Coturnix japonica: one gene and its partner. The protein of the gene in region 1 purifies or fractionates together with the protein of each later gene. This does not show direct contact. Links are inferred from orthologs where the notes say so. Each region holds a gene or a part of one and is shown on either strand. Other genes may lie near its edges.

What was found.
Region 2: the proteins of OFD1 (region 1) and CEP20 purify together in Homo sapiens (co-immunoprecipitation; 3 studies listed by BioGRID and IntAct, with this or other methods). This does not show direct contact. The link is inferred for Coturnix japonica from reciprocal best matches to the Homo sapiens genes OFD1 and CEP20.

What each region holds. Positions count from the first base shown.
Region 1 is NC_029516.1:110,795,019-110,798,579, reverse strand, and holds part of OFD1 (oral-facial-digital syndrome 1 protein), read left to right. Parts: intron 1-375; coding exon 376-508; intron 509-3,500; coding exon 3,501-3,561. UniProt on the Homo sapiens protein: Component of the centrioles controlling mother and daughter centrioles length. Recruits to the centriole IFT88 and centriole distal appendage-specific proteins including CEP164. Involved in the biogenesis of the cilium, a centriole-associated function.
Region 2 is NC_029529.1:7,457,518-7,461,775, reverse strand, and holds the start of CEP20 (lisH domain-containing protein FOPNL), read left to right. Parts: upstream 1-1,409; 5' UTR 1,410-1,518; coding exon 1,519-1,546; intron 1,547-1,887; coding exon 1,888-2,085; intron 2,086-2,504; coding exon 2,505-2,589; coding exon of another isoform or gene 2,590-2,593; intron 2,594-3,439; coding exon 3,440-3,579; intron 3,580-4,258. UniProt on the Homo sapiens protein: Involved in the biogenesis of cilia. Required for the recruitment of PLK1 to centrosomes and S phase progression.

The sequences.
Region 1 (3,561 bases):
GATTATTTAAAGGTATTACTGCTTAAAAGTAATTAAGAAAATTGAAATGTTTGTTTGTCTGTGGGAGGGAGGAGAGCAGGCAGGAAGGAAGGGTGCTTTTGGGTCACCAGCAGATCTGAAATGTCAGACTCTGTTTTCCAGACAGAGTTGTTCTGCTTTTGTCAGACCCGACACTGCTGGAAATAAACAGTACGAGAAAGTTCACGTTGCTTACATAATTGGGTGTTAGCAGCCCTGCGGTGGTGGAGCATGCACAGTGCGCTTATACATGGTTTGTGTAAACCAGACTTATCTGACAAGTAGAAGGATGAATAAATGATTAATACAGTCTGTGTTTTTTTGTTTTTTTGTTTTGTTTTCTTCTTTATTCTGCAGACACCAGTGACTCGTACCTCGCCTCTTCCCAGCAGAATGTCCATCAGGTGCTTTCTCCTATTCCAAAGCCATGCATTCTTTCACGTTCTGAGTCTCTTTCTTCCTCACCATCCAGTCAAGGAGAGAAAATCAGGTAATGTCATTTACAAAGCAACATTTGAACCTGCTTTTTAAGGAAAATAAAATAAAAATTCATGGTGGTAGCTGCTTTTATACTTCAAATAAGCCATGAATTTTATGTCATAGCTTCTCTATAAAGGTGGGTAACATTTCCGTCTTTAGAATATTCTCTCTGTTTCACATTTTCCATTTAAAACTTTTCATGCATTAGTTTTCTGATTAACTTTTGAATGCTTTGGGTGCTGTTGCTCAAAACAAGGTATGGTATGGATCTTAATGTTTCAAAAACACTGTAAGATGTAAATCTATAGTGTCAGTTAGGCCTTCTGTTTGATTTCATTTCTTTGCACAGTAAACCACTTCCAGACAGCTGAACAGAAGATTTGTCGCTAATAAATTGTGAGAAACAAGTAGACGTAAGTGTTATTCTTGCGGTTTGCTCTCATGAGCTCTATTGGGATTTGACAGATTTGACTTTCCAGTGGGCTTCTGCATCATCCGTGTACATATATGATCCTGATAAGGCCAACAGTAATTTCTGCTGATGTTGCTGACTAATGTTAAAATAAACCTCGTTTCAGAAGACAGTTGACTCTTTAGAGGGGTCCAGTTCATCAAGCTGTAACGCTAACGTGTTTTTTTTCCTACTGAAATCATATTAGTGTGCCAGCATAACATTTCCTGGAATAGGAATCTGCAGTCTTCTTTGCATGTGTGTGATAAGTAGCAGAGCTTTTCTCCTGTCCTTTGTGTTTTAAGATCTTTGCTGAGTAAGTGATTGGATGTTGTGTTGAGGGATATGGTTTCGTGGGAGCTATTGGTAATAGGTGAACGGTTGGACTGGATGATCTTCTTGTTTTTTTCCAGCCTTGGTGATTCTATGATTCTGTGATTATAAATGAATAACTCTGAAAAATTAAGCCGTGCAGGAGTCTTCTGTTTTTCCTGTCTTTCTTATTTCCATATATGTATAATTCTTCTGTAACTAGTGGTTACCAGTGCCTTCACTTTCCAAGACTGAAAATCTTGATTCTTCATTAAAAGCTCAACTGTTTAGTATCTAAGGTGTCATTTCCTAGGAAAAGACACTTGAGTCAGTGTCTTGCTGGCCATCATTCCAGATTATATTACTGTAGAAAGATGGTTGTGCTAGGGCAGCTTTAGTGGTCATTCATAGGCCTCTTATATTTTCATGCTTAATATGCGTTTAGTGTAGAGACAATCTCTCTAGTTAGAATTTAGGAAGAGCTTTTATGTTTTTGGCCTTGAAAAGAAGCTATTGAGATTTTTAGGGACTGTGAGATTAATTCTGACATTGGTGTTTGCCTTCCCGTGGCTCTCCTTTGTCTGTTCATTGACATTTTCTACAGCGTGCATCAGGTTTGCTGTATTGTTGTGACAGAACTTAGAAAGGGAATGTTGAGTGGTGACCTGCGTGCTAAGGTTCTATGGGAAAATGCTCCAGTGCTGTGAGGAAATGTGCTTCTTTGAAGGGTGTTGGAGAGCCTGAACTACAAAAAGGAATAAACTGTGGGAACAGTAAAGCAGCATGACCAAGTTGTGTTGCAGAGAACAGGCGCGGGTCTGGCAGTGGGTGGTGGCTGCTTTCTTGGGTTCCTTGCGACAGATCAAGGGTGTGTGGTCCCATTAGCTTTCTTGGACTTCCTGCTTTCCCAAGACATCTTTAAAGGGAAAATGTTGTTTTGTTTAGGATTTTGAAGGGTTTTTGTGCATTGCGCTATTTACTGTTGCTTTAAGTATCTGAGAAATGCCATGTGTGGGCTTCTCCTCTGACTTACTCCCATTATTAGGCAAAAGCCACATTAGTGATGCTTACTGTGGGATTAGTTTTATGACCTGAAGATTTTAAGTGACGATGGGAACCTAAGTGGAAAGAAAAGGAAAGATGCTGTTATAACACCAGTAAACCATTAAGTTAGGCTTCTGTCAGTGGGGGAGAACAACTTCTCCTCTGATCAGGACCTTCTTGTTTATTTATATTTCAAAATATGAGCAGTATGAAGGAAACCAATAAATACAGGCAGGAAGACTGGAGTTATAAGGCAGATGAATTATCTGACCGTTCCTTTTTCATATATGGCTGAACCTAACTGAGGCTTGTTAGTGGTTTTAGGCTTAAAGTAATTTTATACACTAACAAAATAGTTCAGATGGTGGCAGTTGCTTTTTGTTTATAGTTTAATGGTCATTTTGGGCTTAACTCTTGGGATTTATTTGGTGTAAATGGAGCAGCCTACCAGCTTGTACTGAAAATGTCTCATTATGGGGGGTATGGTTTGTTCGTTCTCTGCTTTTAGCCCTATGGAAGGCCTGAACTGCTTAGAAATTCTAAGCACAAACATATTTATGGAAGGGTGAAAAGCAACAGCTGGTGTGTGGTAAGCTCCTTTATACAGCGCCACTGATGAATTGGTGACCTGCACTACTTCTGCTATTCTGATTCTGGTCAGTTTAGTAGAAAGGTCACGTGGGAGATGCCGTTCTTTCACATCATCTTTCTGATTAGATGAACGGGGATTTAGAATGAGGGCACTAACCCCATTTCTTATTGAATTTTCACCCCTCTGTTTATGTTTTGCCGGACCCATAATCCTAATACATTTCAAACGCATCTGTTAAAATGACATCGAAGTGGGAATTAGTTGAACACAGAGCCAAAAAGAGGCTTTCTATTTATTTATTTATTTTAATTTCAGTTGACTGCATGTCACACTGTTGCATTTCTGTTGTTTCAGTCCGATGCCTTTTATGTCATGTGTAGGTCTTGGGGAAAGGCTGTGGGGGGCAGTGCCTTATAGCAGAGAGTTGTCATTCGATAGAAGTTAGAGGAGTGTACTTCAATACATAACTTTGGAGGCAGAAAGCTGCAGTGTTTTGCTTGCATGAGTTTTACGTATGGTTTAGTGGGTTGCTAATCATGCAAGTAAACCTCTTTGCTTATAAGTTGTATTTTCAGATGTTTACCTTCTTCCTCCTCCTTTCAGGCTTCCGAATCAACGCATAGATAACCAAGATTTCAGTGATAATCCCAAGCCAGAGAAACTA
Region 2 (4,258 bases), on another chromosome or scaffold:
GGTCAGAGTAGGAACGGGCTCGGCTCCCGCTCGGCGATACCGGCACAGCTTCGGCTCCTGCCGCTCACCTGCGGGTCGCAACTGCCGCCCCGGCTCCCGCGGCACCGAACACGCGCTGCCCGCGGGGTCCAACCGCCCCGGGATCCGCGCTGCCCCTCGGGAGCCCCGGCACCGACCGGGGAAAAGCCGCAGCAAAACCTCGTCTCGTTTTCAAGCGTTTGACTTCCCAACGTGAACCAGTTCGACTGGTTTCAAAACCCTGAGCCACTTCTAATTGTTGCTAGCGGGAACTGAAACTGAACCAAAACAGCTTCACCAAAACGGCTCCACCCGCAGTTCGCACTAAAATACGCTACTAGTGAAGCCACCCGCCGCCCCGCGGTGCAAATCGATGGTCTCTCGCTCCGCATTTCAGTGCATCAGTTCAACCTGCAGAGCAGCCATCGAAGTTAGAGACAGAACGCCGCTTTACAATGTTCTTTTACACCCTAAGCTGCACCTTGTTAAAATATCCACAGCGCTGCCTTCATGTTGATTCCTCAGATTTATTTTTATTAAGGGTTTCTGCCCTGTTTTGTACACTACATTCATCTTAAAGCCCTGCTGGGTGCACGGGTGGGTTTTGGTGCCTTGATGCTCACTACAGCACCTGTGGAAATAGCTGACATATCTCCTGCTGCCCCGAGCCTGTCAGCGCTGCCTTTCCTCCAGTTTAATCTGCAGTGCTTATAAAGTTAATAGCTCTCACAATCAATAAAAGTCACCAGTTCCACTTGATAAGATGGAAGAATTTTTTTGTAGTACTTGATAAGAGAAGCCAGGAGAAATACTGCCAAATAGATAACACAATCTGTAAGATTTCTACTCATCCTCTGTGCACGACAACACAAGTTATTTCTCTTCCAGTTGGTTCCACCTCTATTAGAAACTCCAACAAAAATCAACAGCAAAGATTTGAACTGATTTGGGAAATGGTTCATCATCCACAGAGCCAACAGTCAGCTCCTCAGAGCACGGCGAGGCACCAAACCTGCCCCGGAGCCACCACAGCCCCACACAGCCCCGGCAGTGTTACAGGCGGGTCCTTCTAAACAGAATCTCGTTTTTGGTCTGTGGAACGTTCATTTTTGAGAGACCTCGAGCAAAACTCTCTATGGATGGACTCTCTTAGCACACTAATAAATACTCTTTGAAATTAGAGGGGAGAGCACTACAGCAATACCAGAGCGCCCTTCCTCAGCCTCCGCTCGCTGAGCAGTCAGCAGGCGCACACAGGACACCAATGTGAGAGTAATTCCGCACACACATGTGCTGCCTGCTATTACCCTGCTCGCTATTTACCCCTGCCTGCCCTTCCCAGCGGACATCCCGGCAGCACAAGGGACCACAAGCGCTAGGAGCGGCTCCCGTCACACCGGCCCGCCCTCAGCCCGCCCAGTCAGCGCCTCAGAGCCTGCGCGGTGCCCGCCCGCTGGGGGCCGTTGGCCGCATCCGGGTCAGGGCGGTGGTTGTTGTGAGATGGCGACGATCGCGGAGCTGAAAGCAGGTGGATGGAGCGCTGAGGGGCTGCGGGAGGGACGGCAGGGCAGACAAGGGTCGCTCCGAGCCTTAACGGGGCTGCAGGCTGCTGGCTGCTCGCCTTGGGGAGTGGCGGAGCCGTTTGTTGCTCATTGAAAAGCATTTGAAGCATCCCCCATGTTTCTTCAACGCCCACACCTGTAGGCAATACCGATCTGTATCTAACAGTGTTGTCACACAGCGATCCGTACACGGGTGTGGTTTTCTTAATTTCATCACGAGTATCCGGGAATGGTGTTTGTATTGCAGGGGGGTGAATGCTGCTCCAGCGCTTTTGGGTTTATATTAACTGAGTTTTTATGGTGACAGTTTTAAAGGACACGCTGGAAAAAAGAGGAGCCCTGGGGCAGATAAGAGCCAGGATCAGAGCTGAGGTGTTCAACGCGTTGGATGACCAAAGCGAACCGCGGCCACCGCTGTCTGATGAGAACCTGCTGATCAATGAGCTGATCCGGGAATACCTGGAGTTCAACAAGTACAAATACGCGGCGTCTGTGCTCACTGCAGGTACTGGGCTGTGCGTGGTGTCATCGCTGCTGTCATTACTATCCACCGCCTGGCTGGGTAACTGAAGCCATGCAATCAGGTGGGAACAGGCTGTGTGATCTTGGCTAACCCTGGAAACAAACAGGATACAAACAACCTTTGCTGTGTTATTTGCAGCGTAACACCAAATTATACCATTAGTTTTTAAGAAAATGTGTTCTCAGTTGCTTATCCTTGAGGTAAATAGAGTTTACATTGACGGATCAGATGATGGAAGAGCAAAACAGTTTGCCAGCAGCCTACAAAGCCAAAACACCTTGCATGACTTGAGAGCTACAGCATTTAACTGGTAGCTCTAATTTATATCTAAAGTTGTTAAGGTCTGTAATTGTCCTTAGATGTGGTAGGTAATGACATTTGCTGTATGATCTGTTTTCCAGAAGCTGGCCAGCCTGAAGTGCCCTTGGATAGACAGTTTCTGGTCAAGGAGCTGAACATCGTTGAAGATGCGAATGGGAAATCAGTGTAAGGATTGATTTGGGAACACACGATGTACCCTGCACGTGTGTCTCCACAGTGATTGTATAAATCACATAGAAATGTTCAGTCACCAGCTCAGTATGACTGGATCACACAGCTGCTCTAACCATGCTGTGTTCAAGCGCACAGTGTCAAGCATGGGGCTGTTTTCAAACATCCTCAAAAGTAGCATTAAGTTCTGTGAACGCTATAGAATATGCTCACTAGCTGTTGTAATTGTGTGGCTGAGCCTCATACCACCTCAGTCTTTTCAGTCAGAAGAAAACCTGTTCTTTACACATTATTGATTTGATACGCAAAGCTGTAAAAAGATTATTGCGCTGTGAGATAAGATATAAATTCACAGTGTTCTGATGCAACTGGGTTTGTTAGGGTACAGAAGCAGGTTTAGACATGTTTGGTGATGCCCTATATCTTGGGCCCACACAATCTGTCTCATGCTTAGTAATAAATGTATTTTGGGATACGTGGTGGTGCTCAAGCCAATAGCCCACTGATCACATGTTTAATTTGCATGACAACATGGCTCCGTACCTGTTCTTGGTATGCCCTGATTCTTTGCTTGCAAGTGATCTGGAGTTCAGCTGAGAACGTCCCTTAGTGCAAGCTATGGGGAGGGGGTGGTCTTGAGGGGTGGCTTGTGCCTGTGCTTATTTATATAATTGCATTTAGCATAATGAATTTTAAATAGCTACTCTGAAGATATCTGAATGTTCTTTAGAAGTGAACATTAGGATGTAAGAACTTCTGAGGAGAAGCTGTTCGGTTATTTTTTTCAAATGCTCAGTAGTTAATATATCTCATAGACGGCTTTTGTGATTTTTGCCTTGAGCAGACCCCTCTTATATGGAATTATATCGCATTTCTTACATCGTGGTAATGAAGAAAGTACCCAGAGTACTCATCCAAAGGTGTCGTTGCTGAGTTATCCAAGGCAGAACTTTGCCAAACCATCTACTGAGAGGAATCAGAAAGGTGGGTGTGAGTATAGGGTCATCTTCACAGGAGCTTTATTTGTGACTTCATTTTCTATGAGCTGGGTTTGCTGATAACTGTGTAAACACGTGAGTGCGCACAGGGTACTTCCTTCTCTGTGCAAGGAAACCTTTTCTATAGAGAAATTTCTGCAGTAGGACATTGTTTATACATCAGAATACCATTAAACCATGTAGGACATTGTTTATATGTCAGAATACCATTAAACCATGTGACCTGACCATCCCTCTTGCTCATATATTCATTTAAGAATAGCCCTACAAAATCTAACTTCTGATTTCTAAAACTACCTCTATGTTCCTTTACTTAAATAAGTGTCCAACTGACACAGCTTCTTAGGTCTGCTTCTCTTCTGTTGGTATGTTAATGTACTGCATACAAATCTGGTTGCCCAGCGGAAAGATGATGGATATTTTACTGGAATGGATATTTTATTTAGAAAGCAGGCAGTTTTGAAAAGCAGGGATAGCAAAATGTGTAGAATTTTTTTGCAGTGTAAAAGTTACTGTGAAGCTCTTGTTACCATGCGGTAGCTGTAGCTATCTGTTATACTAAAGGGAAGCAAAAAAAAACCCAAATTGTTTAGCTTTATTCTTTCAATTCTTTTGGACTGTGAAAAGCTGAAAACTCATCTAAATGTGGACCCAACAAATTGTTT